Linked DNA regions of Saccharomyces cerevisiae S288C. Changing the gene in region 3 together with the main gene of any one other region gives a genetic interaction. Each region holds a gene or a part of one and is shown on either strand. Other genes may lie near its edges.

Region 1 (4,090 bases), on a different chromosome or scaffold from region 3:
TATCCTTCAACAAAAATTACTGTCAGATAAAACTTTGACAAGGGCGTCTATCTTAGATACAAAGTTAAGTGAAGTAGATGAGACTTTTGGTACAGAAAGTGATTTTGATCTATCTTGCGCGGTATGCAAAGTCAATGAAAGAAATACAGTATTATGGCCCTGCCGATGTTTTGCCATTTGCGAGGATTGCAGAATTTCTTTGGGTTTACGTGGGTTCAGCACTTGCGTATGTTGTAGGAGTAAAGTTCATGGGTACTGTAAGGTTCATCCTGTTTCAGATAGTAAATAATAGTTTAAGAACTTTTGCATGGTATCTAAAAGAGGTTTTTCGTTTGGGAGCTCTAGCATTAATTACTATAGCTAGAGCTTTCTGTGTTGCACATATAAACATCATAATAATAAATCAAGTTTTTTTTCTTTGGGAAATGTTCGAATTAAAATTGTACTTATAACATATCGTATCATTAGTATATATATAAAAGTGTCAGTGGCGATTATATCATTAGAGGAGGAAAGAATAAACTATACATCGATTTGCCGTCATTTCTGTATTTATGGCATATTGACTCTGAACTCATGCCATCTAATGGTGGAACAAACGGATTGGGTTCTCTACGTAAACCAAATCGAATGAATCGGCAGCTGAAAATACAACCTTGTCCATGACAGAACCAGATGGAGCGGCAATGTATTTGACACCGGATTTAACTGCTCTGTAAACATTGTCTGGGAATGGGAAAAATGCATCCGATGACAAAGAAACGTTGGTTAATTTACTCAACCATTCCTTTCTTTCTTCTGGAGTAAATGGTTTTGGAATCTCCTCGAACTTCGATTGGTATTCAGACAATTCTGGTTCTTCTGTTGGAATTTGGCCGGTTACGAATAAATCGATAGCATTAGATTTTTCTGGTCTCTTGACGCCTTTAGCCCATTTAATCTCCAAAACTCTAGGGTGTTGTCTGAACCACCAATTATCAGCCTTATCACCAGCTAATCTTGTACAATGGATTCTAGATTGTTGACCTGCACCCAATCCGACAACCATACCATTTCTAGCATAACATACGGAATTAGATTGAGTATATTTAATAGCAATGGTGGCAACCGTTAAATCAATTATGGCTTGTTCAGTGAGATTTTTATTTTGAGAAACAATTTCTTTGAAAGTTGATTGATTGATTATGGCATCGTTTCTCTTTTGTTCCAAAGTCACACCGTATACTTGTCTTCTTTCGACAGCTTCTGGAACATAGTTTGGATCAATTTGTAATATGCAGTACTTACCTCCCTTCTTCTTGGATAGAATGGCCAACGCCTCAGGCTCATAACCTGGGGCAATAACACCATCAGAAACTTCTCTAGATATGATCTTAGCTGTTGGAACATCAACTATGTTGGAAAGAGCAATCCAATCACCAAAGGAAGACATTCTATCAGCACCACGGGCCCTAGCATAGGCACATGCCAGGGGAGATAAGTTTTCAATGTCGGCAACAAAATAAACTTGCTTTTCAACATCAGACAATGGGATACCCACAGCGGCACCAGCTGGTGATACATGCTTGAACGATGCTGCTGCTGGTAAATTCAACGAGGCGGATAATTCCTTAACCAGGGGCCAGGAATTTAGAGCATCCAACAAATTAATGTAACCTGGTGAACCACATAGGACTTTGAAAGGTAAACTGTCTTGTTGACTGACGTAAGCTTGAGCCGGCTTTTGGTGTGGATTGGCACCATAACGTAGAGTAATTTGAGCTTGACCTTCAGAGTATTGTTTCCTGAAGAAATCTGAAATTGCAGCATCATAATCGGCAGTGTGTTCGAAAGCCTTTAATGCCAATCTGTTTCTCAAATCTTGAGAGATTTCACCATTACTGGATAATTCACTTAAAAATTCGGAGTAGTCCTTTGGATCAGATAAAATAGTGACTCTAGCATGGTTCTTAGCAGCTGCTCTTAATAGAGTAACACCACCAATATCAATTTCTTCTACTGCTTCTGGAATAGTCACACCCACCTTAGCAACAGTTTCTTTGAATGGGTATAGGTTACAAACGACATAATCGACTTTTTCAATGTGCTGTTCCTTCAAGTCTTTCTCATCGCTATCGATGTCCCTAGCAAGGATACCACCATGAACGGCAGGATGTAAAGTTTTCACTCTACCTCCCAACATTTCTGGGGCATGTGTGATAGCAGAAACGTCTTCGATTGGAAAACCAGCGTCACGAATCATACGAGCAGTACCACCGGAGGCGAGAATACGAACGTTCTTCTCGATGAGGCCTCTGGCTAAATCAAGTAGACCTGTCTTGTCATAGACGGATAGGATTGCGGTTTTTGTGTAATTGGCCATATTTGATGGTGATATGTGCTTTGATGTCCAAGCTAGCAAAACTACTTCAAGGGCTATTAGTTGCTGGTAAGAAAGATTTTAGGTACTACACTAAAGGTTAAAACGAGCGTACATTTATATACATAGATCCGAACGTGATATGCACATCCGAATATTAACAAGTTATGAGAGGAGTCAATTCATTTCTGGGCACATCAGGGTACACACATTGTAGGGTAGGATCTTCTTTATAAATGATAAGTTGACTTCTGCAATGACTTAGTTGGCATGATTAATATTGTTCGTTCCGCTAAGGAAAAAAGAGTCAAAAACTGCAAATTCAAATTGCGTATGCTGCCAAAGAGCGAAGAATAATAAAAAAAAAATAAGTCGAAGAAAAGGAACGATGAAGTAATCAGGTTGAAAAAATGTTCATAGTGCATTATTATTGATCTATATACGGTTCTAACTATTTCATTTTCTATACCTCCATAACGACAGAGTATTTTGTCTTTTCCAGGTCTTTCTTCTGCCGGCCTTGGTGTTGTTGAATTTGTGTCCCTTGTTGATACCCCTGGATTTCTTACCGGTGGCAGTCAAGCCTCTAGCTTCACGATGCTTATGGACGGGATTGCAGATCCAGTTGTACCGAGCATCTCTTCTGATAGCCTTGTGTTGAGGATCAACCAATATAACTTCGAAGTACTTGTAAGTAGAGTCTTGGTTGACCCAGTAGGAGTTCAAGACTCTCAAGTTAGCAGCACGACGGCCAACTCTTTCTTCAGCGGTAGCTCTCAAGGATCTTTGGTATTTCAATTCATTGACACCTTGGTTAGTTGGCTTACCGTAAGTAGCACCCTTTGGAACAGGTCTCTTTCTGTTACCGCGTCTAACCCTGACACGGTAGATAACGAAACCTTGCTTGGCTTTGTAGCCTAGTCTCCTAGCCTTGTCTGGTCTAGTTGGTCTAGCGGCTCTGTGAATGACATTTTTTTGTCTGTATTCCCAGACCCTGACTCTTTGCAAGAATCTCAAAACATCAGATTGCTTCTTTCTTTCTAATTCTTCTAAATATTTGTAGGCTCCCATTGCTTGTGTGGTAGGTAATTTGTGACTGTCTTTACGGTAGCTTTCGCCGATTACTATTGCCGCTAACTTCTCAAGAGTGAATGAAATTATCAATGGCTCCGGTTAATTGAAAACGTGGAAAAGTATCGAAAGGAACAAGAAAGATGTTTTCCGGGTAACGACATATGGAGCATCAAGACAGATACATCTCTACTGACTACATGTTTGTATCATCATTTGAAGAGATTGGAGAAGTATTCTAGCAATCGGTGCAAAAAATAAGAGTAAAGAAAAAAGACGTTTGTTTCCTTAAAGGAGCTGGAGGAGCCTGTTTTGGATAGCGGCGTAGTCGCTTTATTAATTTGGTTATACTTTAAACGCAAAGATGGCAGTACGAAACCAGCAATGCAGTGATTATATATTCCCTACTAAGGAAAGTTGCGCATCCAATGGGAAACATTTTCCTGATCTGTACCTTTGGCAACCTGAATATGCGGTTGGCTGGCAAATAAGGTAGCGTGGAGGCGGTGTTTTTGCCACAAACCAGTACGCCCAATCTATCCCTGCGAGCCACCGTAATGATGCAAATTGCAGTAAAGCAGCGCTTAGCCTCCAGCCGAAATTTACTTCCGTCGAATGCACGTTGGCCAGAATGTCTCTCGTCCCCCTTGTGCTGCGCAA
Region 2 (3,910 bases), on a different chromosome or scaffold from region 3:
CTAGAGCCGAGCGCGGCGGGTACGTTGGATATGTTGCTGGATTTCAAGTTCTAGGTTCTGCGTTCGGAGCCCTTATCGGTGCCGGATTATCATCTAGATGGGGATGGAGAGCCATCTTTTGGTTCTTAGCAATTGGATCTGGCATTTGCTTCCTAGCCTCGTTTTTAATTTTGCCAGAAACAAAGAGGAACATATCCGGGAATGGTTCTGTCACCCCAAAATCATACTTAAATAGAGCTCCCATTCTTGTTTTGCCAACAGTAAGAAAATCATTGCATTTGGATAATCCAGATTACGAAACATTGGAACTGCCCACGCAACTAAATCTACTGGCGCCCTTCAAGATTTTGAAAGCTTATGAAATTTGTATACTTATGCTAGTCGCTGGATTACAATTTGCCATGTATACTACGCACCTTACGGCGTTATCCACAGCTTTGAGTAAACAATATCACTTGACTGTTGCAAAGGTAGGATTATGCTACCTTCCCTCCGGTATCTGCACATTATGTAGTATTGTCATTGCTGGAAGATATTTGAATTGGAATTACAGGCGCAGATTAAAATATTACCAAAATTGGTTGGGCAAGAAGAGATCAAAGCTTTTAGAAGAACACGACAACGACCTTAATTTGGTGCAACGTATCATAGAAAATGATCCCAAATACACCTTTAATATCTTCAAGGCGAGGTTGCAACCCGCATTTGTTACCTTGCTTTTAAGCAGTAGCGGATTTTGTGCGTACGGATGGTGCATTACTGTCAAAGCCCCTTTAGCGGCCGTTCTTTGCATGAGTGGATTTGCGTCGCTGTTTTCCAATTGCATTTTGACTTTTTCAACAACTCTAATAGTTGATCTTTTTCCCACGAAGACATCTACGGCTACGGGATGTTTAAACCTTTTCAGATGCATTCTATCTGCTGTGTTTATAGCTGCATTGAGTAAAATGGTAGAAAAAATGAAATTCGGAGGTGTTTTTACATTTTTGGGGGCTTTAACCTCCTCGTCATCGATCCTCTTATTTATTCTCTTGAGAAAAGGTAAAGAATTAGCCTTTAAGAGGAAAAAGCAAGAACTGGGAGTAAATTAAGAAGTAAAGCTTCTTGAATCAAAGGAAAATGTTCCTTTTGATCGCTCCACTACCGAGAAAGAGGAATTGGTGTGATAAGTCTTCTCAAATAGAAAGTAATAGTAAGTATTTTTTTTTTTTTAATCTGAACTCTGTAATAACTAAAATTAGAGTTAGCAGCACGATTCACTAACATAGAACGGCTAGTACTGAGTTTTGCCTTTATTATTCTCCGCCATTTTTTGCCAAGGCCGAAAATATGCTGGAGGTGCGAAATTCGGAGATTCGGGTTTCATGTTTCTGGCCCGGTTGTTAACGGACCCTTTATCTCATCTTCTGATCTTGGAGTTTCTTCTAGTTGATAAAACCATGGTGAAGCTGAAAGGTTTGAAGAATCTCTATCACTGTAGCAAAAAAATCTTCTTACAACAAAAAAAGTAAGCAAGCAATCAGCGTTCAAAGGAACTTATTCTTGCTTAAAAAAAGTGATAATCTCTTAGCACTACCATCTTCTATTAATAAAAAAATAACAGATAGCTCATGAAGAGACTTCTATAAGTAAATCATGACCAAACAACAAACTTCTGTAATGCGTAACGCATCTATAGCCAAGGAAGAACGTGAAGGATCTGATAATAATAATGTGGACAGATCCAGCTCAGATGCCATCAGTGACAACGACGCAGAAAGATCTAATTCTCATTCTGAAATAGATAACGAATCAAATTTTGATATGGTGCCTTATTCAAGGTTCAGCCATAAGCAAAAAATGCTTCTTGTCGTTCAGTGTGCCTTCACAGGCTTTTTTTCAACCGTGGCAGGGTCTATCTACTATCCAGTGCTTACTATTATTGAGAGGAAATTTAACATCACAGAAGAGTTAGCTAATGTCACTATTGTGGTTTATTTTATTTTCCAAGGGGTGGCTCCTTCAATTATGGGTGGTTTAGCTGATACATTTGGAAGGCGGCCTATTGTATTATGGGCAATCTTAGCCTACTTCTGTGCCTGCATCGGACTGGCATGTGCACATAATTACGCCCAAATCCTGGCTTTAAGGTGTTTACAGGCAGCAGGTATTTCTCCTGTTATTGCAATAAATAGCGGAATAATGGGAGATGTAACGACAAAAGTAGAGAGGGGTGGATATGTTGGATTGGTTGCAGGGTTCCAAGTTGTTGGAACTGCATTCGGTGCATTGATTGGTGCCGGATTATCCTCGAAATGGGGTTGGAGGGCAATTTTTTGGTTTTTGGCTATTGGTTCCGGAATTTGTCTAGTTTTTTCAACCTTATTGATGCCAGAGACAAAAAGAACTTTGGTGGGAAACGGCTCCGTAACACCAAGGTCATTTTTGAATAGGTCTTTGATATTGCATGTTGGTTCCGTAAAAAAAACATTACATTTAGACGATCCTGACCCTGAGACCTTAGAACCACGTACTAGCGTGGATTTTTTAGCACCTTTAAAAATTTTGCACATACGAGAAATAGACATTTTATTGTCCATTGCCGGCCTGCAATTTTCCACGTGGACCACTCATCAAACAGCCTTAACAATTGTATTGAGTAAAAAGTACAATCTATCTGTTGCAAAAATAGGCCTGTGCTTTTTACCTGCAGGAATCTCGACACTGACAAGTATTATCTCTGCTGGTCGGTACTTAAATTGGAGCTACAGAACAAGAAAGGTTAAATACAACAGATGGATTAAAGAACAAGAATTACAGCTGATGGAGAAATATAAAGGTGATAAAAACAAGGTAGCAGAACTTATTCACTCTAATTCTCATTATGCATTCAATTTAGTGGAGGCAAGGTTGCATCCAGCATTTGTGACACTTCTTCTCAGTAGCATTGGCTTTACTGCCTTTGGATGGTGTATTTCGGTGAAAACACCGCTTGCTGCTGTATTATGCACAAGTGCATTTGCAAGTTTATTTTCAAACTGTATTTTGACCTTCTCTACTACTTTGATAGTAGATCTCTTTCCGTCTAAGGCTTCTACCGCAACAGGTTGCTTAAATTTATTTAGATGTCTCCTATCCGCAATTTTCATTGCAGCACTGACCAAGATGGTCGAGAAGATGAGATATGGAGGTGTTTTTACGTTTTTGAGTGCTATAACTTCATCTTCATCGCTTTTATTATTCTATCTCCTGAAGAATGGGAAACAACTATCGTTCGATAGGATTAGGGCAAATGATAAGTCGGCTGGAAGGTCAGTTGGTAAAAATTCAGAAAAAGTTTCGACGTGAAGAAAAAAAGTCGTAAAACTAAAAAGTCTCTGCCCCCACTTTCCAGAAACAGATATCTATATTTTATAACAAAGACGTACGGCATCATTTAAAGTATCTAAAATTTCTTTGAAGAGATCACATAAAAAATTTTCACCTTCTTTTTCTCTTTTTGGCTGTCCAAGTAAACAAAACATAAACTGCTTCAACCAAAGATAAAACTTGAGAAAATCCAAAATGAACAATAAGGACATTTCTTGGTGACAGATTCGTTAAGTTTCATTATTTTTTTCACTTATTTTATAGAAAAAAATCGGATGTTGAATGGGCATAAATATAAATGTATATATAAGTAATATTGTCTTGTTTCCCTGGAGAAGTAAATGAAAAATGAAATAGCATACAAAACAGACATAAAATTTAAAACAGAAATGAAATGAGCATTTAAAATTAATTAAAAGGTGAAACGACGAATTGAAAATTATTGATGAGGGTGAAGGGAAACAGGGAATGTGCTAGAATTAAAGGGGTAGAAAATTTATGGTGGAGACTTCCCGATACATACTTTAATGTTGTTGCATAAAATTTTCTGAGTCTGAAGTTG
Region 3 (3,663 bases):
TTGGTCAAGACGTGTTGGTAAGTAGTTTGGACATCCTTAGAGTTCAAATACTGGGTCCTATTTTGCTTGAGTTTAGCCAAGGAGGATCTCACTTCAAGGAGGTAGTTTAATATGGATTCCTCTTCCTTAGGAACAATTTGAGGGTGTTGTTGTCCAGCGGATGCAAACATGCTCTTTTTAGACAGTTATTCTCTTCTAATACAATTTCAGCGTTTTAAAAATTGGGAAAGTCCTCGAAGATTTAGTAGTTCTTTTCCTTTGCTTTTGTTTGTTTTTAAACCGATATTTGCTGCTAAACTTCTTAAAGAGATTTGCTCTTCTGGTGTACTCTCTTATTCGTTATCATTTCTGAAAATTCCCCTTTCCGTGATGCGGGTAATACTAGGTCCCTTACCCGACGACAAGAAATTAAAAAATGACGCAAAATATTCATTTATGAACTATTTTATTATAACTTGTATAGGAATAATAATGTAGTGATGTAAATTTATGGGCCCCATTAAGCCATCAAAAATGGAATGTATGCCTATGCTCCTCTTCTGACATAACTGGCCAGAGGCGGGACCTTAGCGGAGGGACCATTGCTGAATCACAAATTCTCTCCACTTCCTTATTTTCCTTCATATAATAAGACATAAAAAACTTGTATATTATTAGGTATTTAGCTCGTTTATTTAGGACCTAGCATGTGTTCAGGAACAACCCATTCATCAAATTCCTTTTCAGTCAATACACCCAATTCCAATGCACTTTCCTTCAAGGTAATGCCCTTCTTATGAGCATTCTTGGCGACCTTGGAAGCGGCATCATAACCGATCTTAGGGTTCAAAGCGGTGACTAACATTAAAGATTTAGTCAACAACTCATGAATACGAGGCTCATTGGCTTTGATACCTTCAACACAGTGCACTCTAAATGAATATGCGGCATCAGTAATTAACCTGATCGAATTCAATAGATTGGCGATCATGACTGGCTTGAAGACATTTAACTCGAATTGACCTTGAGAGCCGGCAAACGTGATAGCTGCATTGTTACCCATGACTTGCACACACACTTGAGTCAATGCCTCGTTTTGGGTTGGGTTAACTTTACCAGGCATGATTGAGGAACCTGGTTCATTCTCTGGCAGCATTAGTTCATGGTAGCCGCAACGTGGCCCGGACCCTAAGTATCTTATATCTTGCGCTATTTTGAAAAGAGAACAAGCAAGGGTGTTTAGAGCACCGCTACATTCGACAATGGCGTCGTGAGCAGCCAAAGCCTCGAACTTATTAGGGGCGGTTTGAAACTTTAGTCCAGTTTCTTTGGAAATTTGCTCGGCTATCTTGACATCGAATCCGGGCTTGGTGTTCAACCCTGTACCAACGGCAGTACCACCTTGTGCCAGGAAACTCAATGTTTTCAAAGAATGTGCCACTCTTTGGATACCGTTCTCAACTTGTTGCACGTAACCGGAAAACTCTTGACCTAGTGTCAAAGGCGTGGCATCTTGCAAGTGTGTTCTACCGATCTTCACAATATGGTCAAATTCCTTGGATTTGGCTTCAAGGGCGTTCTTTAAATTGGTCAACTCAGGTATCAACTCGTTTTGAATTTGCAAACTGGCAGCGATATGCATGACAGTGGGGAAAGTATCATTGGATGATTGAGATTGGTTGCAATGATTGTTTGGATGGACTTGTTTAGATCCAATCTTGCCTCCTAGGATCTCAATGGCACGATTGGAAATAACTTCATTAGCATTCATGTTAGACTGGGTACCGGAACCCGTTTGGAAAACAACCAATGGAAAGTGGTCGTCTAGCTTACCAGAAGCCACTTCGTCAGCGGCCTGTTGAATAGCCTTGGAGATCTTGGGATCCAATCCCCCCAGAGACTCATTCACAATCGCGGCAGATTTCTTCAAAACACCAAATGCATGCACCAAAGGCAATGGCATTCTTTCACGAGCGCCACCAATCTTGAAGTTTTGAAAGGATCTTTGAGTTTGGGCACCCCAGTACTTATCAGCAGGCACGTGTATCTCACCAAATGCATCGGTTTCAGTTCTGAACGAGGAGTTCATTCTTCTTATATTAAGCTTATATGACGATTTTACGAAAGTCTTGCAACTACAATTGGTAAATCTCAACATGATTGTATCTCTTATCCGTTTAATAGTTAGACTTTATGGAATTTCTTGACGTGAGAAAAAAAACAGCTGCAGTACTAAAAGTCACGAATTTAAAAATGCAAAAAAATGACTGTATGTAATGGAGAAACGATATGAATATCCCAGAAGAAAGAGCTAGAGTCACTCCCCCGTGTGTTCGGTCCGGCCTCCTGTTGGATGCTTGTTTAACGTCTACAACAGTGATGAAGATTATATATAGCCTATAAGAAACGCAAAAAGGCTTTACAGGAAAGAGCCAATCATCGAACGCCCATTCCGGGAATCGGGGTAGTCATTCCGAGGATCGGCTCAGGGGAGGGGCCTGAAGCCTCTCCAATATGGTAGTGATAGCAAGAACTAGAGACATTTACTGCTAGCTTCCATAGCTCTCTAACCACAGGGTACGAATAATAACCATTATTAGGTACTGACATTATGATGTCGCCCGCGGCGATTCGGAAGGGTTTAAGGACACGTCTTAACAAATGGCATTACAGAATGGCTATAGGCGACTCACTACTATGTATTGACTATGTAGGAGATACCAAGCTTTGCTTTACGAGCCCTCTTTACTTTTTTTCTTGTATAGTTATAGTTAATGTAGTAGTCGCAATAACTGCGGTAGTAGTACTAACATCAGTAAAAGTAACGCTTGGTAGTTTTTCTGCCCGGTTTAACCATTGATTTGATGAAATTGTAGAAAACTGAAAAAAAAAAAAAAAATGAAAAAAAAAAATGATGAGCTTCTCGAAGAATACATTAACCACTTATAGGAAGGAGAAGAGATCTACTAGACTCGTAGAAGTGATTAATGGCAAAGAAGAATAAGAAGGATAAAGAGGCCAAAAAGGCACGTGCTGAACTGAAGAATCAGAAAAACCAAAAAAAGCAGGAGAAAAAGTTTCAGAAGAACAAGAATAAGTCTTTAAACGGCGAAGAAGATGATGAAAGTGATCAAGATCTCGATGAAATTCTCTCTAGCTTTAGCAAAAAGCAAATTGAATTAGAGCATGTAGACATCACTTCTGTGGAAAAACCCTCTTGTCGTACTCATCCGTTGATGTTTGCAAATCCGCAACACAATAAACATGAATTGTTCATTTTCGGTGGTGAATTTACAGATCCAGAAACCAAACTAACACATTTCTATAATGATTTGTATTCATACTCCATAAAGAACAACTCTTGGAAAAAATACGTTTCGCAAAATGCACCTTTGCCCAGATCCAGTGCCGCTGTCGCTGTGCATCCTTCCGGAATAGCACTGTTACACGGTGGTGAATTTTCGTCCCCAAAACAATCTAAATTCTACCACTATTCTGATACATGGCTGTTTGACTGCGTTGAAAGGAAATTCACTAAGTTGGAGTTTGGCGGTAGAGACTCTTCACCCAGCGCCAGATCAGGTCATAGAATTATTGCTTGGAAAAACTATTTCATATTATTTGGTGGATTTAGAGATTTGGGGAATGGTCAAACTTCTTACCTAAATGATTTGTGGTGTTTTG

What was found. A genetic interaction does not mean that the proteins touch.
Region 1: mutations in FUM1 (region 3) and ADE17 together harm fitness more than expected from each alone (negative genetic interaction), as found in Saccharomyces cerevisiae (3 studies listed by BioGRID).
Region 2: mutations in FUM1 (region 3) and QDR1 together harm fitness more than expected from each alone (negative genetic interaction), as found in Saccharomyces cerevisiae (2 studies listed by BioGRID).

The regions. Positions count from the first base shown.
Region 1 is NC_001145.3:506,919-511,008, forward strand, and holds ADE17 (bifunctional phosphoribosylaminoimidazolecarboxamide formyltransferase/IMP cyclohydrolase ADE17), read right to left. Parts: upstream 2,363-4,090; coding exon 584-2,362; downstream 1-583. Other genes in the region: putative ubiquitin-protein ligase ASI1, read left to right, coding at 1-289; 60S ribosomal protein eL15 RPL15B, read right to left, coding at 2,816-3,430; YMR122C (uncharacterized protein), read right to left, coding at 3,783-4,090. UniProt on the Saccharomyces cerevisiae protein: Bifunctional enzyme that catalyzes the last two steps of purine biosynthesis.
Region 2 is NC_001141.2:132,782-136,691, forward strand, and holds QDR1 (multidrug transporter), read left to right. Parts: upstream 1-1,635; coding exon 1,636-3,327; downstream 3,328-3,910. Other genes in the region: QDR2 (cation transporter), read left to right, coding at 1-1,091; RPI1 (Rpi1p), read right to left, coding at 3,873-3,910. UniProt on the Saccharomyces cerevisiae protein: Multidrug resistance transporter involved in resistance and adaptation to quinidine and ketoconazole.
Region 3 is NC_001148.4:45,810-49,472, reverse strand, and holds FUM1 (fumarase FUM1), read right to left. Parts: upstream 2,138-3,663; coding exon 671-2,137; downstream 1-670. Other genes in the region: CUB1 (Cub1p), read right to left, coding at 1-170; YPL261C (uncharacterized protein), read left to right, coding at 169-477; KEL3 (Kel3p), read left to right, coding at 2,967-3,663. UniProt on the Saccharomyces cerevisiae protein: Catalyzes the reversible stereospecific interconversion of fumarate to L-malate.